Lonchura striata: one gene and its partner. The protein of the gene in region 2 purifies or fractionates together with the protein of the main gene of each other region. This does not show direct contact. Links are inferred from orthologs where the notes say so. Each region holds a gene or a part of one and is shown on either strand. Other genes may lie near its edges.

Region 1 (15,340 bases), on a different chromosome or scaffold from region 2:
GCAGCCTGCAGTGACCATGGAGAAAAGGAGCCAACCATCTCTGTTCCCAGGGCAGTGTGGGGGTGAGATGTGGGATATGAATTTCTCCCTTCTGGATTCCACCAAAGCTAAGAAGAAATACTGACATTCACAAGCCATAACTCACAGCTGCCTTGTCAGACACTACAAAAGTCCTGCTCACTGGCTGGCATGTCAGAAATGTCAGCATGGCTGCCATCTGCCAGTTGGCTCTGATAGTAGATAGATTTGATCAAAACCATCCGTCCTCACTATTTTCTTTATTGTTGCACCTTGGTGGACAATGAGGGTCAGAGTACTCCCTAAAAACCACAGAGGGATTGTGGCTGCTACTCTAGCAGATAACAGGTCAGCGACTCACTCCGGACAAAACAGAAACCTCTCCCACAGTAATTCTTACCTCCCACAGTAATTCCTACCTCAAACCACTCTTACCAGTTTTAACTGAATTTCATTAGTGAATGAGCCAATTAATCCATTGTTCATCCTCCAGCTATGCTGGTAAGTCACATGCTTTTACTGAAAGAGGTGCCAAGGACTACTTTCAGTCTGTGTTGAGCTGATTGCACTCCTGAGATGCACCTACTGAGTTGTACAGCACTTTTCTGTCTGGGAGTGGACAGTCCAGCAAGATCAGCAAGATCCAGATGCAGCCCAGACTCCAAAACACATCTGTTATTCTGCCATGCAATGCCAGTAGTGCAAAACAGTAATCACCTGCCTGATCCTTCTCCTGCTCACTTCCACTGTCCAAAGGAGTAGAAGTGTTCCAGGGTCAGGTATCAGACACATTTCCACCTCAACCATTTGTAAGCACAGCAGATCTTTCTCCCACAGCACCTCCAAAAGGTGTTTCTTTCTTTCAACTTACCCCTCTCCTACAGTGGCAAAGACATCTGGGAAACATGCTGCAGATCTCCCAATTCCATTGTGTCTCAAGAGTGTTCTGTGACATTCACATTCTCTGGACAAAGAGACATAATTCTGTCTCTCAGGAGAAGCACAGAGAGAAGAAGAGAAAACAATCTTTATCTCTGCTTCTTTGTTTTCCCCATGTGGAATGTGGTATGGAGATTGTTTACCTGAAGTGATTGCTTGATTGGATTCTGATGAAGGTTGTTTGGGTTCAATGACCAATTGTGTCTTGGACTCTCAGCAAAGAGTCCTGGGTTTTGTTTGCTAGATAGGTAAGTAAGAAGTATGTAGAATAGTACAGTATCTCTTTCAATAGGATATTAATGTAATATAGTGTAGTTTTAATAAAGCAGATCCTTCAGCCTTCTGATCTGGAGCCAGACATCATCATTTCTTCCCTGAGTCAGGGCACTGCATTTTTTGCTATAGTGTCCATCTTCCACATCACAGCTACAAGGACAGATTTAACTGAAGCACAGGCACTCACCCTTACAACTCTTCCACTGCCCCAGCTCCCCACTGCTGCTTTCTTTCTTATAAAAGTAAAGAAAACCTGGGCTGAACAAGTGAACTTTGCTCCTTTTGTATTCAGATCTGGCACCAGCCACAGATAAGAAACAATGGTGAATGCCAAATATTTTATGTCACCGACTTCTGCCTCAGCTTTTCTTTATGAAGCCTCATTACTGCCGCCAGGAACAACCTGTGGGTCTGAGCAACATCCTCTCTTGCACCTCCCACACATCTTATTTCCACCTCTCTTAAGAGGCCATACCACACCCCACATCCTCCACACTCCCTCTCTGGGATGCACTCACCTCAGCAGGCAGGAGAGGCGGCTCCACGGCAGCCTACAGGGATGCAGGCAATGCAACGTCCATCAGAGCTGCACAGTGTGTATTTGCTTGGCTGCACCCTGCCAACAGTGCCAGTACATCAGCACCCAAATGAATTTAAACAGCTGCCAAGGACATTCCCTCAATTCTTGCAGAACAGAATTCTTGATGTCCTTCTTTATCCCACTAAACCAGTATCCTGCCTTCAATAATGTCAACCTACTACTGGCATCAGAAGCATGCAAGAAATAAACACACAAACACACATACATATGTAACTCCATGAAAAGCCCAGCTAGCATGTCATGGCATCAGTTCCTGCTTGCATCCTTCTAAGGAGCTGGACACACTTTCAGTCCCACATTGATCTTATTGCACTCTGGCCATACAGAGCTGCATAGCAGCTTGGATTGGGGTCATAACCACCTGACCAGCACAAGAAACTCAGGCTAGAAACATGGACCAAGCTGGTCACACCCAAATGCCCAGACCCCAAAACATACCTCTTACTCAGCCATGAAATTCCAGGAGTGGAAAATAGTCATCACCCTCCTGCTCATTTTGCCAAGAGTTTTATTACTGCCAGCAGCCAGGACACAGGGCTTAGTAGGACTCCCTGAATCCATTCCTCAGGATCCCAGGCTGTTGAGATCACAACCAGAGGAGTCTGGCAGGCAGGACAGAAAGGAGCACTGAAGAAAGATGCCCATCAGCAGTGCTGCTACTACAGGGCAGCTCCCTGCCAAGAAGGCCTGGCAGCCAACAGCTTCTGTGCTGTGGGGAGGGATGGAATGAGGCACTCTCCACAGAACTGACAGAATACCTCATCTCCGTTCCACACACCTACCATTCCTCATTTCTCCTTCCACACCCTGGCTTCAGACACAGGGTAGAAGGGAAAAGCACACTTCTCACAGACTAGGAAGATGGTCACCATCCTGGGGAAAAGCACTGTCAAAATGCATGTACAAAAAAGGATGAGAAAATGGGATGGTTTTACAGTGACACTGTCCATTTCATTTCAGCTTTGCTGTGGCAAAAGAAAAACCATATTTAGGGTCTGAAAGGCAGGATGAGTGAGTGAGATAGGAGACTTGGTCTATATCCTTAGGATCTTGAAGGTTTTAAACAACAAGGGAGACTACGACTTCTGTTCCTCCAAGCCAGAGAAGCTGAGATGAGCTGTCACTTCTAGGAGCACCCCTCCCTCAGGCTTTCCATGACCTCAGCTGTCAGTGCACATACCCAGGGAGAGCTGGAGATAACCCAGTGTTGAGCTCAAGAGCAGAATACAGTAGAGTTGAGGGGTAGAACATCCTCTCACAAGGCTTAAGGAACAAGGCTGATGAAGCCACTGGGGATAGTAACGGTAAATTGGGACATGAAAATTCACAGCTACCCTTTTTGCTTTTCAGAGGCTGTCAAGTGTTTTTCTTTCTAAGCTTCTGCCTTACAAGTCACAAGAAGAACAGAAGGACAGTATAATTGCTTCATAAATGACCAAATTACCTGGAAATGCCAGACAGGATAGTCTGCCACAAGAGGGAACACATGGTGATAAGAGATGTTACACAAACAAACACATGTAAATACACATTTTCCATCCATCCAGAACCAACAGTTCAATGCGTTCCTGGGCGAAGAAGCCAAATTATGCAGAAGGAACAAGTGAATTTGCCTGTGGGATAACCTGGCTAGAAGAGACACAGGTCTCTAATCAACCCCCTCAGGGCTGTCTCAAGAGTAAGGGAGTTGTTGCCTTCTTTGCATGTGTGATGCAACAGTTCAAGCCATGATAGAACTTTTATTTGCTGAGAATGATAGGCCTGCTGGAAAGTTCCTAAGGGGAAAGAGAGCCCTTCACAGCTACTCCCACTGAACATTTTTGCTTGACAAAAAACCAGCAGCTTTCTTCCACCCCCTTCATGAAGAATGCATCACACCCAAAGAGAGAAACTTTCGGACACTGCACTGCAAGTAGCAAATAAAACCCCTTTAACAGACCTGCTCTGAGTTAGGAGAAATAAAACTGGTTAAACTCTCACAAAATGTACAAGAGGGATTAACCACCTCAGACTTCAGAGTAAAATGAAGTGTCACACATGGTATATTATTTCAAGCACTCAGAAAATACGTTTTTCTTATTGATCCCTGAAGCCAGCATACAGCAGGGAGTGCCAGGACTTTTACCAGGCAACTGGGGGAGTCATTGTCCTCCTCTGCAGAAGCCACAGGACAATGAACACAAGCAACAGTTTGGAATGAAACATACTTTTTGCAGAAATACAGCATATGACCAGAAGTAAATACAGGCCAGGAACTCAAAGACATTATCAGCAAACTATAGAACAAGGATGTGATCTGAGGTGAATTACATGGAGTTCAAAAGCTGCCACCTCATCCAGCTCGCAGCTCAAGCTTCCAGCTGGCTCACAGAGCAGCTGTAGCCAGCCCACCTGTGCAAGCCAGTGCTGTGCCTTTGACAGGGACCTGTCACCAGATGCATCATATAAAGTATAAGTGATGCTACCCCAGCTTCCAATAATCCACAGACTGGGAACTGCCTGTCCTAGGCCCACAAAATGCTTCAGAGAATATAAACGCACTGAAACTTTTGCACTGACTTTTCTAGTTATGATGAGCTTAGCCACAGCTCAGCCAAGACAGGCACTCTACTCCCTTCACCACAGACAGTCCTTTGGCAGCAATGACAGTCACCCAGGAGGACTGGGACAGACCTTTGTCTTACTGGTGGGATGCTAAGAGACTCTTCAGCCTCCACAATACCAGCTGGTAAGACCGCTCGTCACACCAAAAGCTTCCCTAAGAACCATGGCATTGGACATAAATGTGTTTTCTGAGAAAGGGACGTCTTTCAAAACTGTCTGAACAAACAGCCTCTGATGGGTGATGCTATTTCAAGTCAACCCTTTTTCATGAACCCTCAGAGAAAGCCAGGAAGTGCGGATGGAGGACAAAGGAAATGAGCAGTGCAGAATTTAAGGGATGCTACACAGTAGCCAGAAATAAAGATATGTCACTGCTAAAATGCAACAGGATACTGCAACAAGTTGATTACAAAAGCCCTCAGGAAAAGTCAGACTTTAAAAATAACTACCGCAGTTCACGTTCTTCATGAGAGGACAAGAAGAAGAAGCTACTGGCAAAGATTCCTCATGGCAAGCAACACAACGGTGCAGAAATAACCCATTGCCATCAGCTCCCCATCTGATGCAGCTTCCAGAAAAAGAAGGGAACAGAACATCGCCTGGACTGCGTGGTAAACAAGCGCTCGTTCTCTCCCTCCTCCGCCTACAAGGGTCCTACAAGCCCAGCAGAAAGGCCAACTCTTAACTGTACAACAGGGAAATCTGACTGAACAAAAGGCAGAAGGGGGTAAAAATCGTTTCACCAGATTTATGGCAACATTTCAGAACGCCTTTACTAATTCCGCGGGCTGTGCAAAGTTATGACACCAGCCGCAACAGGTTAAAATACTTTCCTAAGAAAAAAAAAAAAAAAAAAAAACCAAAAAGAAACAAAAACAAAGCATACAAGGGCCAAGCCCCTGCAAAGCTGTGCAAAGCCACAGGGCGCTGGAGGGGAAGCCAAGCAGCGCTGCGGCAGAGCCGGGCCCGCTGCCGCACGGGGCCCGGGCTCTGCCGGCTCTCCCGGGCTGCCGCCCCGGCCCTTCCCCGGCCCGCTGCCGGCGCCGCCGCGCCCGCGCCTCCCCGTCCCACCGGTGCCGCCATGTCGGGCGCTCCGCCTCACCGTGGGCCGCCGCTCCGCGCCGCCGCACGCCCCGACCCGCCGCGCTGCCGGGAGGCCCGGCCGGGAGGGAGGGCGGGAGGGAGGCGCGGCCGGCCCGGCCCACCCCGGCCCGGCCGCCTCCCCCGGCTGCCTGCCCGGGCTGTCCGCAGCCCTCGGCTCCGGCGCCTCACGGTGCTGCTTCCATTACAGCGAACTCCAGATGGAGCCGCTTTTTTGGGTTTTTGGTTTTTTTAGGAGTCAGATCCGCTTGTTAAAAGTGTTCTCCATGAAACCCTGTAAAACAAGATCAAGCCCTGACTGGCACATTGCCTCATCCTCCCATTACCTCACTTGAGCCGCAGCCCTGTGCGAGGGATGCTCCCAGGAAAACACCCGCTCCTCTCCGCGGCGTCTCTTGGTTTTTCAGGAGTGGGACGAAGAGAGGAGATCTGGGCAGGGAAGGGAGAGGCCAGTTCAGAACCTCCTGCGTGCTTGCTTTAACTTCTCCATGTGCCCAACTCAGAAATCACTTCATCCTTCCCAAGGAGTAAGCTCGCTTTAGCTCAGAGCAGCTGGAGATCCAAGTGATCAAATAGAGCCTTGGGGGGTCAGCTTGCTTGCACACTGACAGATTTGTTGCAAGGAATATGTCGCAGGATCTGGAAGCCACAAGAGACACCGGCCCCTGCCCAGGTCCTGGCCCTCCTTGGTGGAGCCCTGCGTAGCCACCATGCTGGGCAAATGCCTTCTTGCCATGTCCAGGGATTTCATGCCCAAACAGGAAACCACACAACCCCCCCAACCCAGCAGATTTGGGTCAGTGAACGGGCATGACCAGGCACAAGTGCTTCTTTGTGCTTGGGAGAGCCTGCAGGCAAAGGTGAGATACAGCATAGGATGCCCATCTCCCCGTCTTCAGTTTATTGCTGGAGTAATAGTTTTTTGGGTTTTTTTACTGCAGATACTTGTTTACCTTGAGGAGACTAATTTTACCTGGTCAGGTCTTCTGTGGACTAGTGTTTTCAGAAGTAGCACACAGCCACACTTGTGTTTGCAGCATGGTACATATATGTATATAAATATGCCCTGCAGGCTGGAGAGGCTGGAGCTGGGTTATTGTAGCCACACCAACCAAAATTTCCTTGTGACTCATCAACAGCCAGTTCAGTAATGAGCACCTCCTAACAAAGCTCTGAACTGCAGGGCCCCAGGTCTATTTACACTGAACACGAGATTGCCAAACAGAGCATTTGAAGGTGTATAATGGGCTGTGAGATACATTTTTCATTGGAGATTAAGTACTTGGTCAATATATGTTACATACAGATAAAGATATTACAAAAGAAAGGCCTTATGAAATCAAGCCTTGCTCTGCTGAATTACCAGCTGGACTGTTACTTCTTCTAAGTGCAGCTAAATTCTCAGTTGAAGGAGAATGAGAATCCATTTGCATAACAACCTATCCTTAGAAAACTAAGTTGCACCTGTAATAAACAAGAAATCTGTCCCACAGGAGTCAGGGAACAAAATATGTAAACTAACAAAATATAGAGATTTGACAGACATACGCCCTAGCCATTTACCGACCAATAAACTGTGTCAGTGTATTGTTAGCCAATTAGGTCTAACAGTGCCTTCTGAGATCGCCTATAAATATGAGCTTTGTGAATAAAGAACTGACTTTTCTGCATGAAGAAACCGAGTCCCGTCTACTTATTAATGCAATAAATATATATATTTATAGTCTAAGCAATCAACAAGTAAAAAGATCATGAAAAGACACAGAAGAAGGTGACAGGACAAAGTAATATGTGAGTGAATGCATGAGTTACCCATAGCAGTAACTCATTAATTGTATGTAAATGGAAAAGGTCCCTTGGACCTGGAATAAAGAAGGTACTAGAAAACAACATCTCAAATGTTTGAAATTTCTGCATTTATACTGTGGAAAAGCTTCAAACTTAACACCGTGGCTTAATGCTCTCTTTTCAGCCCTGTTTTGGCTTTTCAAAGAGATGCTGTCAGCCTAATCCTCTTATGCTTACCCTTAGTATATTGACACGAAACAGATAAGTGAAAGCAAAGCAGAGTGAGGTCCCTTTGCTGGCCTGCAGGGATTTGTGGGGCCATGGCTACTTATCAGAGCAGCTGGCTTTTATGCTTTTGCCTCTACGCCTGATTGTGTACACAGGTGCACTGTTGCATGTTCCAGGATAAGGCTTCCCAGGCTGCAAGAAGAGTCTTTCTTGTGATATGATTCCAAAATACTTTACAGATTATGTGCAAAAAGTCACTTGTTCACTAAGAGGCTGGAGCCAATATGGTGAATGTATAAGCCCCCAGGCAGTCTTATTTTGCATCCCCCCTCATCTCATGCCCCTCAGGGTATCTCATTATTTGCATTTATGCTAGAGTTTCCAGCAGTCACTTACAAAAGGTGGCTGCTCCCAGAGCTTCCATTTAGAGGCAGGAGAGATTCTGACAAAAAAAGGGAATGTATTAAAATGAAGAACTTTTTGGAAATTCTGGTCTCCTTTAGGTCTGATATCAGACAGGTTTGAAAACTAGCAACATATCCCTTTAGATTGTAAGTGGCTGAGTCTTCCAACAGGACAATGTAATCTTTGTGCTGAGAGACAACAAAAGATCTTCCAGTAATAAACCCCACCCTGCTGCTTACCGTTGTCCAAGCTCAGTATGCTCAAATTCTGTGCCATTTTGTCATCCTTGAAACAAAAATCCACCCTTTCCTGCTTACAAAAAGTATATGTTACAATTAACTACTTCTGTTATCAGTTTATAGCAGGGGAAATGAGTAACAATTTGTTTGGTCAAAACTGCAGAGTGATTAGTTCTGTAATGCATGAACATCCAGCTGGAGCCATGCCAGGGCACATTAGAAGCAACCAAATTCCTAACTCTAGTGAAAAGGATGCATGGGACATTAATAAAATAAAGTTTTAATTCCATTAATAGAGGTGACAAGGTGAGAGTGGTTTCAGTCTCTCTCTGAAACCACTATACCCCCCAGACATTCAGGAAGTGTCTCCCCTTTTTCTCCTCTGTGCTCTGCCCTCCGTAATTAGCTGGATGGACTCTGGCTGCTTAAAGGAGGTAAAAAAAGATAAGATTAATTTCTCCTGAGCTGCCCCCAAGACATGGGCTCCTGGTTAACTCTTTCCTTGCTTGTAAGACTCCCTGTGTACCACCATGCAGGACAGGCCACTGCTAGAGCAGTGAGTAGGGAGGGTCACACTAGGATCAGTGATTGAACATGGGAGGCTGAATCTCCTGCAGCACCTGAAAAAAAATCTCTCAACACAACCACTTGTAAGACAGCATTTCTTTATTGCCTGTACTGTTTGCACACTAAGAAAACATACTTAAGGTTGTACATTGAAAGAACCTGCTGGTTCTTGCCATTGCAGTATGACAGCACTGATAAAGGTACTGGCCCATATTTGTGTGTCAGGTGTGTTTCACACCTTTGTCTTAGGTGTGCTGTGTACAAAGCGTGGGAGGCACACATTCAGAACATCTTAGCATGGATTCCCCTTCCCAAAAATCACTCCTTGCAAACACAAGTAGTTCCCCTGGAAACACTGTAGGTCTTACTCCAGGCTCCACACCAGCTACCCTGGTTCCTTCAGGGCCTCTTGTAGCTTTCCAATTCCCAGTCTCTGGAAGGCATTAGTGCAGTTAAACAGTGTTAAGCCACAGCCAGCCAACAGTAAGGACTGAACAGGATCTTACTGCTTTTAGCTCTTCCTTTTACTCAGAAATCCTGCTCATCCAGAGAAAAACTTCCTCTTTCCTATCAGAAGTAAAGGGCACCAGAAGGAACCATGGAAATTCTTTGTAATACTGATGTCTGTAGGGGTGACTCAGAGTACTTTTCCTGTCTGGGATATTCCCAGCAAAAAACGTGCAATAAATAGGCATTCAGAACACCCACCTCATCCCAAGAGAGGAAAGACCATGGACAAGTACTGGCCCTTCCCTATACTGCAAGATCTGCGGACTGCATCACAGCTGCAGTATCTTGTGCCTAAAATGTCAGAGTCACATACAGAAACAGCCTCGAAGACAAAAGGGGAAAGGGCACTAGCAAAAATCTCACTTAATCCCAAGGCTTTGAGAGCTGAGCTGCAAACCAGAAAGCATGGCACCCCAGATGCTCTATGCCCAGGCATTGTGGCAACTTTGCCAATAGGAGCACTTCTGGGGACAGTTTCTACCTCTGCCCTGCTTCTCCTTGCCCTGCTTTGCCTGGACCCTTAGTGACAAGAAGGTCCCTTCCCAAGGGGAACAGATTGAGTCCAGCTCATTCTCAGGCCCTTCACCAGTAAAGCGAGGCTGGTGCTCCAAGTCCCGGCAAGAGAAAAAGGTACATTTCACAGGCAGCTGCTTCATGCTTCCAGCCCAGGTGCTTTTGAAAGCACTCTAGTGGGATCTTTCAGGACAGAGGGTAAGGCAGTTCCAAGTTGCTGGAGATTCTTCAGGAAAGGATAAGAGAATGGGAGGAAACAGGCAGCATTCAGCCTTAAAACAGGCTATATATGGCTCCCCTGGTTTGTACAGCACAAAGGGCCCATCCTGCAAAGGACTATGAATCAGCAGCACATGCCAGAGCCTGTGGGTCCCAGGGCAGCTGCTCTGTGTTCTGTAAACATTCACTTTAAGGACAGTGAACAGGTCCATAAGGGTGACAAAGCAATGAAAGCCATTGGGATTCATCCTATCAGTTCCTATTATGATCACATATAGAATCTGTTAACTACAATATTGGCAAGTCCAACCAAATCCTGCAGTAAATCCAGGGCCCAATCCAGATCTTGCAGGAAGTGGTGGAAGTGTTCCCATCACAGCAGGCTCTCAGCTGAGTACTGCTTCTGCAGAACCAAGAGGAGATGCTTCTCTCTGAGACAGGTGGATCACTACTTAGAGCTAGCCCAAATTTAAAATATTTTCTTTCCTTCTTATACAGAAATTCTATTTAATACAGACCCACTGTGTCCTCTGGTCTCTGCTGCTAGGCCACTTCTTTTCCAGAAAGAACAGGAACAAGACTTCATTCCTTTACAGGGAACAAACCTCTCCAAGACAGAAGGCCCAGTCTGTGCTACTAGCTAAGACTAGCCAAATTCTCCCAAAGAAGCAGAGGCCTCTAGAGACCAGCACTGCATGCAGACTTGGAAGTAGAACAGTGCAGATAATATGCATATTTTGGCCTGATTTATGCCTCAAAATTCACAGACTGGGAAAAGCTGCACCTTCCCCAAGTCTCTAGAGAGCTGATACCACCAAATTCAGCTTGCCTGAAAGGAACCCCCAGCTTCTTGATACAGCATTGGCACATGTCTCATGCTGACACGTTGTGCTTTATGTGCAGCACCCTTTCCTCCTGCTGATATCCTCCAGCTGCAGGGCATTCTCCCTCTGCCTGTCTTCTTGTGCTGTCAGCAACCTGGAAAGAGTAGCACAGATCAAGAATACAACCTGGTTACTGAGCTCTTCCTGCCAAGGCATTTGCCTCTACCCTTTGCTCTCCACCAGCCATTTAGGATTTATATTTAAGATTGCAAGAAGTGACAGGCCCAAAGACTGGACTTCTCTGGAAGTTCAGCTAGATAAATGACATACAGAGAATGAGCGTGAATTTCCAGGGAACATGGAAATAAACTGGACACATACAAGAGGGGGTACCATGACTTGGTAATCTGAACACCAGTGTGAGTGGCCTGTGCCTTTATTCCCAAGATCCCCCATGGATGTCAGAATCCTGGGTTGTATGCTCCACCAGGCTGGGCCATCTTGGGCAGCACCATGGTAATAAAGCATGCTGAAGGCACGTGCTATGGGAGCTGTGATTCACCTAGCTGACAAGTAAATCCACCCAGTTAATGAACAGCTAAGTCCTGCTGTGGCTCAAACAGACATGGTGCAGGAGGAGGTGAAGAGATCAAAGAAAACAAAAGGATAGTTTTCTTGTGAGATTTTAAATACTTTTCCCCAAAAACTACCCTTTTTTAAACTAAAAATTTTGGAGCAAAGTTCCCTCAGCTGAACAGTATCTTATCTCATTTTTAAATGATTGCCACTGAAATAGCTCAGTCTGTACAGTGCTTATTAAGACAGGGAAGAAAGAACCCTTAGAGCTGCATGAAAACTTCAAAATGAAAACACCAGTTTAAAATCTGGGACAGCATGCAAGGTTTTTGTGATGAAATAGTCAAATTGAACTCCTAATCTTGCAACAGCCAGTTCTATCAGGTGAAGCTTTGTGTGCAAGGAGTCCAGTCTACACTTGGTGCTCTTCAGGCACAAAAGACAAGGACCTGGAGTCAGGTTTCTTTTGGGATTTGACAGAGTCAGTCTCTGACAGCCCCCTCTTCTTGCCCATTCCCCAGGAGAACCCACACCAGTCACCGCCAGCTGGGGAAGCGTCCCAGGGTGCTCCTGTTCACTGACCTGGCCATGTGCAGCATGGGCTCCATGACGTTGTAGCCAGTCATGGCACTGCACTCGTAGAACACAGCCTTGTACTCCTGCCAGAGAGCACAGCAAGCACCCATGGTGACTGCCAGCTCTCCACCATCACCATTCACCCAGAGCCTTGGGAGCTCGCCCATCCTCATCCCCAGGAACCCTGCCAAGAGCCATTGGAGCCAGGAGGGTGGCTGCTACCCTGCTGGGGTGCACACCCTGCTCACCAGCCCAGGAGGACGAGATACTTTTTCAGCATTGGGGGCCAAGCCAGCGTGTCCAAAAGGAAGCACTGGGGGAGTTGTTTGGGAAGAGAAAACATCAGTCCAGGGTACTTTGATTCCCTTCCTTTTTTGCTGTGGGTCCAGAAGGCAGGAAATACCTTTGAAACCCTGTCTCCCCCCACCCAGGGGCCAAAGTGCCAGCAGGCAGGCAGTCAAGGGAGTGAGGAAAGAGGCAGGATGATGTTCCATTAGGGAGTTCTCAAATGGGAAATCAGCCATGCATGTTCCCCTCAGAAAGACTGAAATGAGGCATCAAGCCCCATGAGAAATACATGAGCCTCCTCAAGGGCCATTGTCTGCCACATACAGGCCACCACCTCATCCTCCCTTGTACCAGAGGGACCTGGGTACCTGTCCACATTGGAGAAACAGGGGGTGGGAGGCACCATACTGGAAAACAGCTCCAAGAAGGGCTTTCTGCCAGCCAGACTGCCCTGCTCACAGCTGGAGGGTGGCTGCAGAGCAAGTCAAACAGCAGAGCACCGAGTCACACCTTTGCCAGCCTTTCCCCCTCCACCTTGGGTACTTTCCAGGTCTCTCTCTGTACAGCATCCAATTTATTTCCAAGCAGAAAGACCACAGCTCCATCCTCTATACCTTCCTGCAAAAGAAATAAAGACCCCTAAAGAACCAGCCACTCCGAGCAGATCCTTTCAGCCCACCAAACAACACCTTCAGTGGCAGCAGGATCAGGCCCATTAGACCATTAAAGGGCCAGGGATTTGTGAAATGAAGCTTGAACTAGGGAATCATTCCAAATATTTGGTAGGTTGAGCTGGGACAGTGGCAGAGGGGAGACAGGACATAAGTGTCTCTCAGGAAAATAAGAAGCCTAAAGAAAAGCAGCTTTCCCCATAGGCATTTTGGAATTTGTTATCTGGCAGTTCTTCTTCATAAGCTCTGTAATTTTTGTATGTGCAGTACTGTGTCTAATGTGCTGTCCTAGACTCAACAATCCCTTGCTGAAAATTCTCTGGATGAGCAAGTTCACCCCTTGTAAATTGTCTCCATAGGAACTGTTATTCTTAGGCAATTCCTGGAGCACCTTACCTCTGGTCAAACTCTATAATTCCACTGGCTCACTAGAACATGGTCAGAGTAAGAAAAGGGCTCAAAGTTATTTCCATACTCAAGTGCCCTGGATGACATACAGAACCTGAACAGCTTCAAAACAAAATAAATACAAAGATGGGGAGAGGAAAAGAAGATGGAGATTAAAATACACAGATTTCATTTTGTGGACTCAATTTAACCTTCCTCTTGAAAGGAACCTGATTTGCAGAGGCTGGTTAGTTTTGAAGATCTTAACATTTGATCTTTTGGAGTCCAAAGACCTAAGTGGTTGTTTGGGTTTTTTTCCCCAACAGGCTTGTGGAAATTAACAATACTAGAATTCTCCAATCTATACTTACTCCACTGAGATCTTGGTTTTTTGAGACTCAGAACAATCAAAACAAAACCACCCTTGAAAATTTCCCTTCACCTCTTGATTATCTACACACAACTAATTTAAAGTATAAAGAGAGGTATTTTTGTATCCCCAAGAAGATAAAAGCCACAGATAAATGCTTTTAGTGAGTATTTGGAAATAAAGGATGGGGGAAACCCAAGAGTATTAATACATTGTTACCAAAGTTTAAATTAAGAAAGGAACTAAAAAGAACCACCTCCCTTTCCTGTGCATAGGCCAGACACCAGGAGATCTCCCTGCCTGAACACAGGTGAGATGTGACCACGTTTAGGAGATGTAGCCAGTGCACATGGGCTGCTTACAAACCCACACTGCTCTTGAGAAACAGCCCTCCCTGGTTTAGTGGGCTACCACTGGCTTTGTTACCTTTGACACAAAGCCTCTGATTCTAAACTGACCAGCACAGGAATCTGCTTTGACAATTCAGCTTCACAATAGGACTTCCCGGGGCAGTGAGAAATGTCACTTCCAGGCAGGCTGTTGGAGCAAGGGAGCACCAGCAGCACTGGAGCCCAGGTCCCGCTCTCACCTGGACGCTGCTCATCCAGTTCCGCACCGCCAGGAAGGAGCACTCGGCCGTGATGTCGTACATCACCAGGATCCCGTCTGCCTTCCGGAAGTACTGCTTGGTGATGCTCCGAAACCTGAGCCCAGACAAAAGCAAAGGCACCCTCAGAACCACGGGGAGTGAGGGAGTGGGATTGTCCGTCAGTGCAGGCTCTCTGCAAGGTCTGGCAGCACCCACACCTGATGTGTTACTCAGGGCTGGTGTCTACGCACAGGTGACAGACCCCTGCACCTTTGAGACGGGCCAGGCAGCCATGAGTAGGCAGGAATCTTGCCAAATGCATGGTGCTGAGAAAGCAAGAAAGAAGACCTTTGCAGATCAGGAAGAAATAAGCAGAAGAATCTATTTGGGTGGGATAGGAAAAGGTAATTTCCTATTAAAAGGGAAACTGATGGAAAAAACATGATCTTTCTCTATAGTCTGGAAGAATCTGCAGACTAAGCTGTACCACAGTACAAACTAGGCATGCATAATGCCTGTCCCAGGGCTGCCAAAACAGCAGTTAAGAACTCAGCATCAGTACAGTCTGTTTCCACTATTGAATCTATATACCAATGGCATCATGCATAAATAATCAGGTGCTAGACACAATTTCCAGGAAAAACTCCTGCCAGACATCTACTTTCTGTTGTCTGTACCATTTTAAACCACAGGCTTGTATTTTGTGAATAAATTCCAACAAAAGCAAACCAAACAACCAAAACAACAAACCCGAACCTTAGAATCTGTAAGCACTTTGTGACAGAGCCATGATAGAACCACAATGATTGCAAACTGATGGAATTAGCAATGTCATTAGGGAATTAATAAATGTAACAAAAGCCCCGAGATCTCACCAGAGAGCTGTGTATTTCAGCCCTGCAGAGGATATCAAACTCTCCTCTTACAAGCCAAGAAAACCTACAGCTGTTGCCTCCTGCACTCTTCAGACAGCTGCTTGAAGCCTGTCCTTTCTTGCTGCAATATTCTGGCACCTACCCAACTAAGAAAGCACAGACTGTATCTTTGGCAA
Region 2 (15,298 bases):
CCACACCAGACCAACACTGGAACCTCTGAGCTGAACTGTGCCCTGCCCAGCTGTCAAACTAAGCCTGTGGACTGCAGCAGAGTACCCTGTGGGAATGGGCTAGAAAGAACTCTGCACGTGCAGAAAAAGCGTGGACCTTCCTGATACATAATCCCTAATAAGAGCTTCAGAGAATAAGTACATGAACAGCCTTCAACAGCCCAAAGGCACGTGCATGCTTAAAGCACAGTTCTAAGTATTCCTTCAGTCTTAAAGCCATCATAGCCCTGGGCTAAATGCTTATAATCGGATCCACAGTTTGTGTAAGACTTTTCTTCAAGACATGAAATTAATGACAAAAGCAGATGTATCTGGGTACATGACGCACTGTGGCCCCACGCCTTGAAATTAGCTGAAAACACAGGCACTCAAGTCACTTGAAAGAACATCACTCCAATAAGGTATTTTCCTAGGAGAAACAGGTCCTAGAAATGCCTGTGCAGCTGGGATGCTCAAAGAGCCCTTTTTTATAGTCCATGCAAATATTCAAACACTGATCAAACAGATCAACAGAACTAAATGATACATTAACAAGAAACTGCTCTTTATACACATCTGTGGAAGAAGAAACCATTATATTCTACTGTGAATAGAAATGTTCAAACTGAGAACTTCAACCAGCTTTAAAAACTTAAGAACAAGATTTTTTGCAAAAAAACTTATGTTTGAGACTATGCCAAGAAACGCACTGCATCCTCTAACTCTATGTATTGCTACTCCTCCACATGCACACATACCTAATTTTACACACATCCCCTCATACATACATTTTTTTTTGCCACTCTCTACATTCTCACTTGAGCAGAATCTAGAATTCGTTTTTTTCATGTATTTTTAACACCCTATGTTCCTGTAAGCTGCAAGTTGTGCAAACAGTATTGTAGCTATTTCTAGGACTACATCTCATCTGACAACAGTTTTCTTCCACTATACGCAGGAACACAGCTTGGCTGGCAAGAGAATAAACTTACATCTTCAGCAATATTCAGGGACCACACCACATAATTATCACACATTTATCTAGCAGAAAAATAAAGTGAGTGGATAAAAAGATTACAGGGACTTGCAAAATGACACCATATTTGTAGTAGCAGTTACAAGAGTTGGCTGTGTAAGAAAAAAAATATGCTAAATTTATTTTTGCATCTTTGGCCAAGAAAACATGGTTTTCACTTGAAGGTTTTTCACACTACGCAAACATGGATAATTAAAACAGCTTTTCATACACTCTGCTAGACATCACTAACATCTAAGAGCCAGCAGGCTAAACCATTATGCAGCTTCAGCTGCACTGACGACAAAGTGCAAGGCTAACAAATCTTTATAATTCCCTTAGCAGAGTACTGTGAAAAGAGCATTAAGTAAAGGACACAAAAAATTCAGCCTTACATGATGGTGTCCTTGCTATCTACAACAGCTGGTTGCCACTTTTGACCACTTCCAGGATAAACATGCATTTCCTTCAGACCTTTGACCCATGCATGTGCTGCTGAGCAAACAACCCCGGGCAATACAGGAGTGAAGTTGTCTCCAGCATATTTGCAATTCTTTTTTTTTAAAGATATATTTTATAGACCTACTTTTGAGGAAGGTGACAATGACAGATGCAACATGCAGAGACTAAACATACAGCTCCATTTCCAAAAAACTGTCATCTTCACTAAAAAGGAAGCAACATTCAGTCTAAGAAAACTCTGCCGTTCCTATCGACACTAGCTATCACCAAACTCAACAATACTCATAATTCCAATCTGCTGTTCTCTATTTCTTAGATGATCTCCAAACATCTTGAAAATAGAAAACAAATGCAAGGAATACAGCTTAAGAGTAGCCTAGAAACTCACTAGCTGGCAGTGAAATCCAGTGCATGATCTCTCCATGTTACCCTGGAGGGACTAGAGTACATTTTTATGCTGCAGATGGCATCTTGACAGGGCCCATCCCATAAATCCCTCCTTTTTCCCTTGATTCAGCAGACCTTCTCCCTTCCTAACACAGTCTAATCATCCTCACACACATTAGTTCAACTACTTGAAGGAAATCTACATTAGGAAATTACATTTTTTTAGATGCAGTTCTGTAAGAGAAAAAAAGAAAAACAGCCACTGCTCCAGCAGATCTAAAAATGATCAATGCATACTAGTAAATGTTCCAAAAATCACAATGCAAGAAGCGGTACCTTTTGCCTTTCACTGGTATTTTGGTACAAAAATCTGTCTCAGGTACTTCACAGCAGAATACACACAGCCTGTTCTTTAAGCTAAACCAAAACAACTGCACTTTTCTAAAGAAACTGCTGTGGAATTCTCAAAATAATCTTAGAAAATGTGATACTCAAAATACATTAAATCCAAGGGAAGTACATTTTAAGAAGAATACAGTATGTTTGATACTACAGCTGCAAAAGGAGCTTTATTAACCTATGGTATAATTCATTTATTTTTAACATACAGAATGATTCCTTTAAAAATTGAAGTTAAACCTTTTTTCCACGTCTATGTCTGTTTTCTAAGCTACATTCTTCTCCCATTACTTCCAAAGCAGTAACTTGCTTATGTATATTGCAATCAAAACTATTTAGTGCTAATAAAGCAATTATTCCATGTTTTCCAGACTATTCTGCATAGTTTCTCAAATATTCATGTGCTGTTACCTACCCTTGCTAAATACCATGATAAGGTGCTCATTTTCCAGCTAATGTTTCACAGTACAGACCACCATCTGCTCATACAATAATATGGATTTTTACTTACTTGCTCTTAAAATGGCATTTGCCCAATAGCCTTACCTCAGTCTTGTCCTTTCCACAGATTATGTCCTCAGAACATGGCATTTTTACAGTTATGGCCAGAATGACTCATCTAGACCCAGGCTAGTTCTGAAACATTTAAACAATAGCTGATTTTAAATGAAGTTCTTTTAAAATGAATGTGCTATCTCCAATGAGAATTTACCAGAATGCATTCCTTACAAAACTTAAGAATTGCTCTGGCACATGCAGGTGGAATTTAACAGAGGAAAAAAGAATGGCCCATGCTGACTGATGAACAATTTACTGCTGTAAGATGCCAGGCAACCCAATATGCTAATTTCATTTATTTGGTGGAGAAATCATACAGCAGTAAATTAGATCAGTAATCACTCTTCTTTGCTTGTTAGGCCTTATGAAAGCATTTATGAGAAGCCAACCTACCTGTCTGGCTTCTGCCACCGATAACCAAGAACATAACTCAAAATCAGTACTGGGAAAAAAGCTAGACTTCTGCAGTTTGCTCCTCCTGTAACAACTACAGATCCCTTATACAACATAAATTCACCTCACTTTTTTCACCCATGGTATTAGCACAATGGATCTTCCTTGAATATCTGTCCCTTACCACTACAAGAAAACTCTTCAACTACTCCTCCTTTCCAACTTCATTTGATCCTGACCTTTGCCACAGGCCATTTATCTTAAACACAAACTCCTCTACAAACTGCCTCCTATCACTAAGAAAGCAAGTAAGTATACTAAGCAGGTTATCTAAGAATAGTTTGCATAGACAAAATCGCAAAGACACTCAAGAGAAGAAAATACAAGGATCAGTGACACAGTAAAATCACAGCCTAAGAAAAAATATTTGTCAATGTTTTAATTGACAGAAGCACTAACTAAGGACCATCACTATTACAGCTTTTAAACCTGAAGGTGTAAACATGCATTAATTCAGTTCACCCAAAGTCTGAATTACACTACACCACCTCTGCAAGTAGAAATTGCCATCTTCCACTGCAGACCAGCATAATCCAGCTCTTTGTTGCTGAAGCAAAGCATCTCTGAGCCCAAGCCCCCAGAGAACCCAAAAGTACTGGCTAAATGCCACTGGGGCTGCACTGCAGCAGTACAGCAATGCCAGCAGATCTGCTGACCTAAGGCAACTTTGTTATGTATTGATATAAAAGCTCACAGTAGAGACGTGCAGCATCAGCAAAACCAGTACCAAGTAAAATTTTCAGTAAGACACTGCAATTTTTAGGATTTTATGGCTGGTAATGGACAGTGCAGTCTTGACATAAAGTGCCTATCCACAGCTTTCACTACAGCTTTTCAGCTGATGGAAGAATCCCAAATGTTAGTAACTACAGTACCCTTTTTGCCTCACACAATAACAAGAAACTTACCTGAATTCAGCTCCCTACTTCTACTGAAAATAATATCAAAATTACTTGCTAGTAGATCTTTGTGGGTCCCTTGCAAGTCAGGACAATTTGTGATTCTATCATTCTAAACAAAAAAAAAAAAACTGGCTAGCAGGTGTTAAGATTTACACTTGGACTGACCTTAAGGATCTTTTCCAACCCAAGTGATTCTAGGACTCAATGAAAATAATATACAAATTTAGATATTCTTGATGCTTGTGTTTTAATTCAAGATGCTTAAATCATTGTGAATTACAGCCAAACTGGAATGGATTTGCTCGACATATAGAATATGCATACATACAGACCGTATCTCTATATATTCTATAAAATTATATATATAGTGAGTAGCTAGTAATTGTATTTTTATTCTAACAGTAATATAACATAGAGTAGCAAATAAATGCATGATCAGTGTAGTCCCCATCTAGAGATGCTGGATGCACTCACATTTTCATCACAGAACCACATACATTTTACATGTTTCTCCTATAGCTCTGCCCCCAGTCACAGACCCCTCTAAGCTACAAACCTTCTTCCAGTCTGCAGATGAAATGTGCTGCTGTTGTGCCACCATTCCCCTGCAGAACCAGAACTACCTTTCATCATATTTATAGATTAAAAACAGAACAAACTTACGCAGGGCAACAAACCCAGATCCTTTAGAGCTCCATCAGCCTTTTCTGCTGCTTCATTCACTGTGCTTGACAATGAGCCAGAACCAAACACAAAAATCCAGGGAGATTGCCTTGGTACCCCCAACATTAATGTTCCGCAACGCACATAAAGTTTGCATTCAGCTGTCTTTCACACCCACATACCATTAGCAATCCACTTTCAGTTACCATAAAAGATTTTCTCCTCTCCACCTGACAAACTTTCTAACTCTTCTAATTTGAAGATACTTAAAATCAAAATCTTGTTATTAGTCCATAGCTTTATACTCAGCACCGTTTACAACTAATGTCAAAGCAATTGAACAGTCATCTCTTCATAATGGTGAAAGTTAAGCAATTAGAAAACATGGCATTTGTAGCTAACACTAATAAACTAATTTGCCATTCAAAGCTAATATGAAATCCATAACATTCTGTGACTAAGCAAAAAAGATGGTCAAAAGCAAATACCATGTTTAATCAAAGGCTATTTCAGCTGTACCTTTGTCACACCTCCCAGACATTCTCCACCCGCATCTTTACAGAGGATTATTGCAATGATTAAATCACACTGAACACTCCTGTGTGAGGAAGAGGGAACCATTTCACTTAACAAATGCGTAAGTGAGGTAAGAGGAAAATTACACATAATTTAATTTGTTTTACCAAGCCATTAGCCCCTGAATACAATCAGTGTATTTTACTTTCTCTCATTTTCTTGTTTTTCCAAAGATGGACTAATCCTGCACATGCTTAATGACAACCTAATTTTGTAAAACTTGAGGGACAGAAAGGTGCTCAAACTGACAGGTTTCTTTGAAATAAGGGTCCCTGCCAGATGAGATTCCAAGTATCACTCTTAATTATGCTTCAGTATGAATTGGGAGTTTTTGTATTTTTGGCAACTACTTAACAGTATTCACACTCTAAATGTAACTGTATTTTGAAATTAGCATCTATTCAAGAAGAAAGGGTAAAACAGATACTTCTATCTGACTAAGAGATAGCTGTATATAAATTCACTTTTGCAGCATAGGTAAGACAGACCCAAACGCACCTGGGAATGCAGAGGTATTGCACCCCTGAGTCCTGCTGTTAAGTAACAGGCAGCATGAAGGCATTAGAAATAACTGTTTCTCAGCAGTAGACCTCAGTGTGACCTCCTGTTCCCATAACTTTCTACCTTCCCCAAGTATCCAGACAGCAGATACCATTTGTTCCAGCTATGAAGAATCCATCAATCCATGGAAAAGACCACACAAATCCTTTGGTATTAGCTCATCCTAGTTCATTTTTATCTGATATAAAAATGCAGCCTAACATGGAAGGCTTCTCTTTAACACTCCCCACCAAACCTCCTTCTTCAGAAGGCAGAACTCAAAGTGAGCTAAACACAGCTCAGTCCCTAAGACAGCTACAGTTCAGCATATTTAATGTCTTGTTCTCATAAAGCCACATACTACAACTCTTACAGACACAAAAATTATGTTCAAAGTGACTACAACATGCCTGTTTGACATAAAAGGTTTCATTCCAAGCATACTACCCAGCAGCTACCCAGGGTAGCTTTCCAATTATTTATGCTAAAACTCATGGATTTGAAAAATGGCCAAGACACCTCATACTCAGAAGCACATGTCACCATAAAACGCAGTTTGTCTAGCCTGGTTTTGTCTCTAATAGAGATCCTTGCTTCTCATGAAAGCCTGGATTCAGAAAGCCATGTCAAGGCAGATAGCATCTGGCTCTGCTCTTTGACTGCCTGAGGAAGCACTTACTAGACATACAATACAGAACTTTCATGCCAATAATCTCTGAAGCATTTCAGCCAAATAGTACATACCAGCTTGAATACTGTGACTGTCCTTGTGTTTCTGCTGCTTTTTTCTTCTCAGTAATTGGCTGTCTGCATATTCCTACACACTCATTCTGCCAGGACCGACAATACAACAGGAGACTAACAAGCTTCAGGCATTGCTTTCTTGGTCGTACTAAAAGAGTCTACTCTAAAAGTAGACTTATGCAAGCGTAATCCTGTCAAGAATTAAGATAAAGGCCTCTGGAAAGGAGCTCATAGATTTGCATTTCATTCCTCAGGATACTATGGGTCATTTTATCTGCTAGGTGGAAGATGAAACATGCGTGTATGTGACTTATACTCCTCTACACACTGTAATTTTTATGAAATCACACAGGAGCGCAAGTGTGAGCAAAATGAGCCCACAGGATTTTTCAATTTACCACCTAACTTTATGAAGAATATTATATCTTTCCAGCTTCCTCATTTCGTAAACTCTATATGGATAATGAATGTATCTGGCCTTGAATTAAAACTAAATATTTGAGGAGGAGGCATTTATTTAACAATAATACTTTACACTCACACGCTATCCAGCACTACTGGATAGGGTGGGGTCCACCACTGCTCCGCTATGGACACAAAGCAGCAAGGATGCTGACGATGTACACAGGAGCCTTATTTTGCCTTCGTAATTTCCCAAAAGAAGTTTCATGCATACATCACTAGCCCCGACTTATTTTTCCTAACTTCTTTGTATCACCTCTCATCTGCATTCCCGGGCAGGGTCTGTGTCGAACAGCAGACCCGGAGTTACCTGAGGCCGGGTATGCCGCGGAGCACAGACCCGAGCGCTGGGGAGGCTCCGGCGGCGCAGACCGGCGCGGCCCGCGCAGGAGAGCGCCGCGGCGGGAAGGGCTCCCAGCGGCGGCTGCCGCTCGCTTCCCCTTTCCAGCCTCGGCTCCGCGCAGGTCCCCGGGCGCGGGGCCGGCCCCTCGCCCCGCCGCACGTCCCCGCCGCTCGGCGCTGCCCCGGCTCCGCAGCGCCCCGCGGCAGGTGCTGCCCATCCCTCGGAGGGCCGCCGGCGGCCCGGCCCCGCTCCCGCCGCCGGCCGGACACCTCGCGGGGGCTGGCGACCCCGGCCCGCCGCCAGGGGAAGTTTCCCGGCGGTGGAAGGTAGGAGGGTCCCCGCAGGCGGCCCGGGACGGGGCCGGGCGGGGCGAGGTGCACTTACAGCCGTTTCTCCTGCGGCTGCAGCTGCCGGTGCATGGCCAGGGAGAAGCCGAAGAGGCTGCCCGTCTCCCCGCTCCAGCTGATCACGTTGTCCGTGTCCAGGTTGAAGGCGCCGGCCAGCCCCGGCAGGAGGGGCAGGTAGAGGAGAAGCAGGGCCGCCATCTGCTCTTGCCCGGCACGGGAACCTGCCGCCAGCGCCGTCGCCGCTCCCCGCGCCGAGCGCGCCCGTTGTGCCCCGCCGGCTCCGCGCGGGGCCCGCCCCGCCCCGCCCCGCCCTCCGCGGCTGCCCGGCCCCCGGCACAGCACAAAATGTCCCCGGGGCCGGGCCCCTTCCCCTGGGAGGGGCAGCCGAGGGCGTCGCCCCGCCCGTGACTCGCCCATCACCTCCCGGGGCCCCCAGGGGGCTCACCGTCTGCCGCGGCCGCGGGCTCGGATGGCTTTGCGCTTCGCGACACGAAATAAAGCCTTACCGAGGGGCGAGTCACGGCCGCAGGTGAGGAGCGGGCCGTAGCCCCCGTGCACCGTTGGGGAAAAGGGCAGAGAGCTCCCACGGCGGGGGGAGATGTGTTTGAGCCATCAAACCATGCCCCCCTGGGGGGCTGATACCGGTCTGGCTGCTGCTCAGCGCCGTCAGGTCGGTCCGGGTACCGACCATGGGCATAACATTGCCCAAATGTGCTAAGGTTGGTACAGAACTATGGACAGTATGATCCCAGTATTGAGTCTGTATTCCCCAAATTCCTTCATACGTGCAAGAGAAGAACTAAAAAAAAAAAGGACTGGGAAAAAAATAAAATCTCTCTTTTACCAGACTATTCACAGACCACATGAAAACAGAAACTGAAGACTACCTGAATCTCCTCCTCCAGCATTTCCTGTCTCTGAACATATCTGAAAATTTTTTATTCCTACCTTTTAATTGTTCAAAAACAGTATGTTGGTTTGGATCCCAGGTCATTTTCTCATGCTTTCACCCATAACTCCAAAAGCTTATTTGCCAGCATACCTTATCAACTTAACCCACTCCAGAGAAACAGAGAGGTTTTAGTTTTTGAACAGAATCTTGGTTTAGTGCTCTGGTTTAGGAAAGCAGATGCAAGTTTTTAAAACCTCACAAATTCTTAGCAGCATGACAATACTCAATTGTTCTTTTCTACTGGTATCTAGAGTACAAAGAGAGAAGAAGCTAAGATTCCAGAGAAACTGAGAAAAGGGCAATAGAGACAGAGCACTCAAATCTGTTGATACTCCAAATAACTCCTTCTGAAACAATACTCCCACAGAGTTAATCCAAAGTACTTTTTCCAGAGTAATTATTCTAGGATACCTCCATGTATAGACAAGTCTGGCTCAAGTCCAAAACACCCTTGATCAAAAGAGGGGAAGAAAATGCACCAGAATTGTGTTTCTAATGTGGAAACAAAACATTTTGTTAAATTAAGCTCCCAGATATTTATTACTAATAGAGTCCTTCCCTGCTTGCTCCTCCATGCCCAACTCCTTCAAAGTCTTAATCCAGTGTTCAATCACTGCCACAGCAGAAAATTGTACTGGCATAAATACTGCCTTAGTTTCACTTAAGGACCTGTAAGAGGGCAGGGTCCCAGACTAATTACAGGCTGTTTTACTATCATCTACGTATTTCACAGTAATTAGTAAAGATTTGAAAACAAGTCCTTTAAAACAGTGTTGATATCTGTACCAAAGTTTTAGCTGTTTTGGGACAATCAAAACTTGTGTGCTTCTAATACTCTTATAGTAACTATAGTTAATTTTTAAGTAATGCTTGTACTCAGTAACTTGCAAGAAGTCACAGAAGTACTTTCATCCAGAGCTTCCTGAATGATACTGGCACATTAGTTTTATTTTACTTCTCCCCCTCCCTCTAACCAGCACTGCCTGAGCATGTTGTACTTGTTTGTTCATATCCACAAAGATTGCTGAGGGGAGACAGAATTTTCTCATCTCCAGATGCAGTAACAAGCATTCCAAGACACAGTAACATTAACACCTGTCTCAAGGGACCACAGCAAGAACAACAAAAATAGAGTGTATACAGGGTGGAGCAAAACTGCACATGAACAGCTTAGAATTACCTTGGATGGTCTCTCATAATTCCGTACTATTTTCATTTGCTCTAGATGAGGAGAGAGGGGGGGGGGGGAAAGGTTTTACAAATATGTCAGTTTCCTTCCTTTGCTCTTCCTCCAAAATAAACATACTGTGAGTTATCTGTAGCTAACACATACTTCAGGAACTCCTCTTCTCTACAATCCTGGTATAAAGGGGGACCATACGAAGATTAGGTATGATGACCAATTAAACATGAGCACTCTGTTATGCATAATAACGCAGCGATTCTAACAAATGCAGTGGCCAGATCAAAGCAGTTTCTCTTTTTTGTAACAAACACTGTGCTATTGCTGAGTTTTCAAGCTGTCTGCTTATTAATGGTGTGTTGATAGTCGGCTGAAGGGCTACAAGATGTTTGCATGTTGTGTCTACACAATGAGCAAGCCTCAATGTGTAGACACATGCATTACTGCCAGCAATACTTTCCTCCTCTGTACAACTGCGTAGCTAATTACAAAGTAAAAAAAAAAAATCATTTCTGGAAAATAAAAGAGGTGGAATGCAGAAGCTAGAGCTTGGCAAGACATTTGAAGGGTTTCCCTAGAAGGAAGGCAAGGCACAATGTTTTACATTTCTGAAATTCTATCCTTTGTATCAACAATATACTGCACAAAGAAATACACAGTTTGTGGATGTTCAGCTGTGCAGCTTTAATGCAGCACATCAAATGGTCCTGAAAAGACAAAATATGTAAACATCCCCATCCCATTTCCTTTTAAAAACTGCTTGATTTCTTAATTTATGTAATTCCGGATGAAAAAAAATGATATCACCAAAAAGTTTGGTTTACTATAAAAGTTCCAAAGATACAGCATTGTTTCAATTCAGAAATATAAACTAGGTTTAAGTGTTAGTAGCCTGAATGGTTGGATGTTTTCTCTTGAACACAATATCCATACCATTTCTAGAACTGCACATTCTAGAAAAATTATATACATTTATTCAACAGACCCCTCTTAACAGCTACAAGAAACACCTGCATTTTTATGCAGCCAGGTTATCAGACTATCTTTGCCAGTATATCCTCATAGCTGTTCTTAGTTCCCTAACAATCATTAGAAATCGCAAACAGCAGCATGGGAGATAAAGGGGCTTCAAATGGTGATTGAAATAAATTGCTCAATACCATGTAAGCAAAATGTTTTGCTTTAAACAATCTAAATCCAGAGCATGAACATAGTTATATTTACACACTTGGTATTCTCACTTACACAGACATAACACTGATTGTATTTATGTCATTTATAACTGGATGAGGAATGTCTCCGTCTCTCTCTCTTTACTATTTTTTCAGAAAGGTAACCAAAATGCAGGTTTTTTACTAATTGCTCTATTTAAGCAACAGTTCCAAATGAAGATGTTACTACTTTCCTATAACTTTGGTTTTTTCTCTTTGATGTCTAAAACAACAAGATGACATTCTGCCATCCTTTACTTGCTTGTAATGTTAAAATATTTTATGTTGTTAGATGTAGTATTACACAAATAAAAATATGAGTCAAAAGAAATATTTCAGTCCAGACATGGAATTTTGGTGAACACTGAGACCAGTGTTCACCAAAGAACACTGAAGCACTTCTTTCAGTCTTTTACATCTAGAGAATGTTTTTCCACCCAAGTTGTCAGGTACATTCCTTAAGTAGTTTTAGAATGACGAGAACTGTTTGGAGAGTAAACATCTATGTAAACATACAAGGAGGCACTTAATGAGCGTAGCTGTGCAGAGATCAGAGGAACATTGGTGACAAATGGGAATCAAGCAGCCATAGTTTGTATTTCTATGGAAGGAATTAAAGATACACCTTCAAAATTACTTAAAACTAAAGCATAAAGTTGCAGCGATTTTGAATGTATGCCTGTGTTTTAATTCACTAGTAACATACACCACTGTGTAAGATTTGCCCCACCATAAGGCAAGATGAAGCTGAAACATCATTATACACATCACAGGCACCTTTGCAGCCCCATTCTGTGGTTTTCTCAGAGACATTTATATCCCCAAAGCTCTTACATTACCACAGCTGAAATTTGTATCACTGACTGCATCTCAGACCCATTCGTACCATTCATGCTTTTCTTGATCTGCCATATGTCCTGCACATGAAACCTTGCCTCTCTTGGAGAAATTTTCACCAGTGTAGAGAGACATAACCTGATACCAGATGCAAACTTTTGTGTAGTTCTAGCCAACTCTCCCTCAATGTGCATCTTAAATTAGTTAATTTGCACCAAAGCAGCCAACAATGGCGTATAAGGAAGCAGAGGAGATCTGAAAGATAAACAAGGTATTTCTTGGGTAGGTGTTGGCAGGGAGGGAAGAGAGAAGGTTTACAAGCAAGTTATTCACAGGCCCTCCCTGGAGATTTTCCCCAGGAATTTTGAAAGCAAGACAAACCTTCACAGGACATATTTTAACCCCATCAAGAGACAGAAAGGGTTATTGTTCAGGACACTTTCACTCTCCTAGCTCACAGAGACCTGACTAAAGAGCCTTTGGCCATCACCCAGAACACAATTCCACACAACTTTGATAGCACTTACCTCCAAGGACTGCACTGGGTGCTGATGCTGGACAGGACATGGCCCTGGGACAGAACCTGCAAGGCACAAGATCAGGAGCTCCAGTCACTCAAGGACTCTGGTCTCTAGGTCATGATCTAGCTTACTGTAACAGCACAGCTGAGAGCCCAAGTGCCTCTGGCAGCAAACTAGTGGAAACAGCTGCTTGGTCATTTCCACACTTGTTACACCTGTCCTCCCATCAGGCCTGGAGCAGACCCAGCTGTGAGGCCAGCCAGCTGGCTGTTAGCTTCCATGGGGGAGGTAAAGCTCCCTCCGATTGCACAGAGGCTTCTAGTGATTCATGCAAAGAAATCCAACTTCTTTTTTTTCTAACAGATTTAAATTTTTCTGTATCCACTGTCTTTAGAAATTCTACTATTTTGGTACTACAGCCAGCTCATTTGCATGTGCTAACCAAACTGTGTCTGCCACTGATTCAACAGGACCTGTGGTCAAGACATGTTTAAACATGGTTTTCAGACAGCTGCAGACAAAGCCAGCTAGGGCTGCTTCTCTGGTTAAGGTCTAAAGCTAGCAGTCTCAGAAAGATGCTTCCTCTACTTCCTTTACTTTTTCTTTGCTAATAGAAAACGTGTCTTCCTTTTTTTTTTTTTTTTTTAACAAAAATAAATCTAACAAACATATTCACTTTTCTCTTTAGATTAACATCCTGCTTTCTGAAAAGCAAATTGGACAAGACAGACTAGAGCACTACAGAAATCTCTTTCTAGTTCTTCTGGATTACCACCAGTTAAAACTATTTATTTTCTGGAAAATTTATTGTTTTAATTAATCATAGTCTTTTAAATCAGTCCATAATGAGTAAATTCAATATTTTGTTATATTAAGTCTCACTTGCTAACATACTAACAATGATGAAAATGTTAATTATACAAAGGCAAGTCTTTAAAGGTCCAGTCCACTCAGGATCTGAGCTACTAACTGAAGGAAAAGCAAGTTGTTCTCCCTGCTTTGCCTGTATATGAACAGCAATTATGTGGAGGCTGAGACACACTGCAGTTCTCATAAGCTCCCTGCTGAACAATGCAACCTTTAATTTCTGGAGTTTCGTAAGTTTTCTATAGAAACAAAATATTCTTCTACCCTGATGCCCATCTACCTGTACCATTTTATATTAAAAAACTATCAGATGCTTTAACTTTCTCATTTAGTCAAACAAATTAAGAAATTAAAATCAACAAAATAAGACAATCTGTTATCCAAGGAAGAATTTTTTTTAATACTATATTTTATCCAACCTTGAACCATTTACAGCTATCACAGGAAAAAGATTGAGGATGTCCACATATGCAGTATTTTCCAATTAACTGCTTCTGTTTAATTATTAAACAACTACATTAAGATCAACAGGAAGAATTTTTTTTTCAGAATAAGACTGTTCACACGTGAGTTAATCAGAAACAATTTCATGTTTAAGCAAGCACTACGGAAGTATTCAGACAAAAAAAATTAGTTCATCTTCAATTCCAGATTTATTCAATGAAAATATTCATTGCATGATGCTACCATGACCAGGCAGGCTTAGTGAGTGAACTGCAAATCTAATCAGTTTGGCAAAGGTTTTTATGGAAGCTGCTGTGCTGGCTTCGCTGACTTCAAATGATTTTTTTTTCCTTTGTTCATTTGTTGCAAACAACTGAAATCTAGGTCAAAGAAGGAAAGGTCATTCATTAATTATGAAAGTGCAAATTTTTATACAGTATTGGAAAGGTTTCAAAAGAAGTTTTGAATTCTCTATTCCTTGTGTATTCTGTTTTTTCACTATTTTTCCCCATCCTTCTATATATCTAAATTTCGAGCACCTTCATATGAAAAGGTAAAATAAATTGTGCCTTGTAGGCAATCAAAATTTAATGCATTGAGTTTTAAACAATTATTTCAGTAACATTATGAATTGGTAAAATATTTATGGCACAAACACTGTACATTTCTGTACACTGTAACTGCTCTAATGGTTTTTTTTCAGAGCATCACTTCATTGGTCATACTCTCTAAATTAATTCTGTCAGGGGTAATTTTTTGGGGGGGGAGTTCTAAAAGGTTTTGAACTTTCATATAGTAATCATATTTAAATAAGCCCAGTCTTATTTTATGTGATAAGAGGAATTATTCTAAAATATGCATTATAACAACTATATTTTTTTAACTGCAATCATCAGTCCCTGTGTGGGTATGTTGCGAGTGCTCTGCTTTTTTTGTTTACATGTCTTTCACACCAGAAATCTCAAAGACAACACCCCAAACCTATCCAAGCTCATTCCACACACCTGGGAACACAAACAAGTGAGGAAGTTAAAATGATACAGTCCAGGAGAGATGTTCTCAGTTTTCACTAGGGCTGTACCTTTCCTATCATTTTCTGCATGACACATATGTATTGCTTTCTTTACTTGTGGGTGTGTGTTTTTAGGACACACCAGACAAATACTATGTTTTCTAGCATACAAGCAAGTAAACTGCTGTGAATTTCTGATCACACAGAGTAAAGTACATGCATCAGTTCCTGTTACCCAGCTTCTTCTAAAGTCAATCAGCATCTCCAAGGATCAAAGTCCACTTTTAAGCAATTGAGCAACCTAATTAGCAGGTAGATAAAGGCATTGTAATTTGCTCATTGATTGCAAATAAAGGTACACTAGCCCATTTTACTGTGGAACTGTTCTTAATAAAATAAAAT

What was found.
Region 1: the proteins of ITGA6 (region 2) and CD151 purify together in Homo sapiens (co-immunoprecipitation; 3 studies listed by BioGRID and IntAct, with this or other methods). This does not show direct contact. The link is inferred for Lonchura striata from reciprocal best matches to the Homo sapiens genes ITGA6 and CD151.

What each region holds. Positions count from the first base shown.
Region 1 is NC_134608.1:44,890,450-44,905,789, reverse strand, and holds the start of CD151 (CD151 antigen), read right to left. Parts: upstream 5,612-15,340; 5' UTR 5,541-5,611; intron 2,307-5,540; exon of another isoform or gene 2,273-2,306; intron 1-2,272. Other genes in the region: CRACR2B (EF-hand calcium-binding domain-containing protein 4A), read right to left, coding at 10,902-10,986, 11,991-12,067, 12,783-12,890, 14,290-14,404. UniProt on the Homo sapiens protein: Structural component of specialized membrane microdomains known as tetraspanin-enriched microdomains (TERMs), which act as platforms for receptor clustering and signaling.
Region 2 is NC_134610.1:20,601,240-20,616,537, reverse strand, and holds the start of ITGA6 (integrin alpha-6), read right to left. Parts: upstream 8,163-15,298; 5' UTR 8,068-8,162; coding exon 7,907-8,067; intron 1-7,906. UniProt on the Homo sapiens protein: Integrin alpha-6/beta-1 (ITGA6:ITGB1) is a receptor for laminin on platelets. Integrin alpha-6/beta-1 (ITGA6:ITGB1) is present in oocytes and is involved in sperm-egg fusion.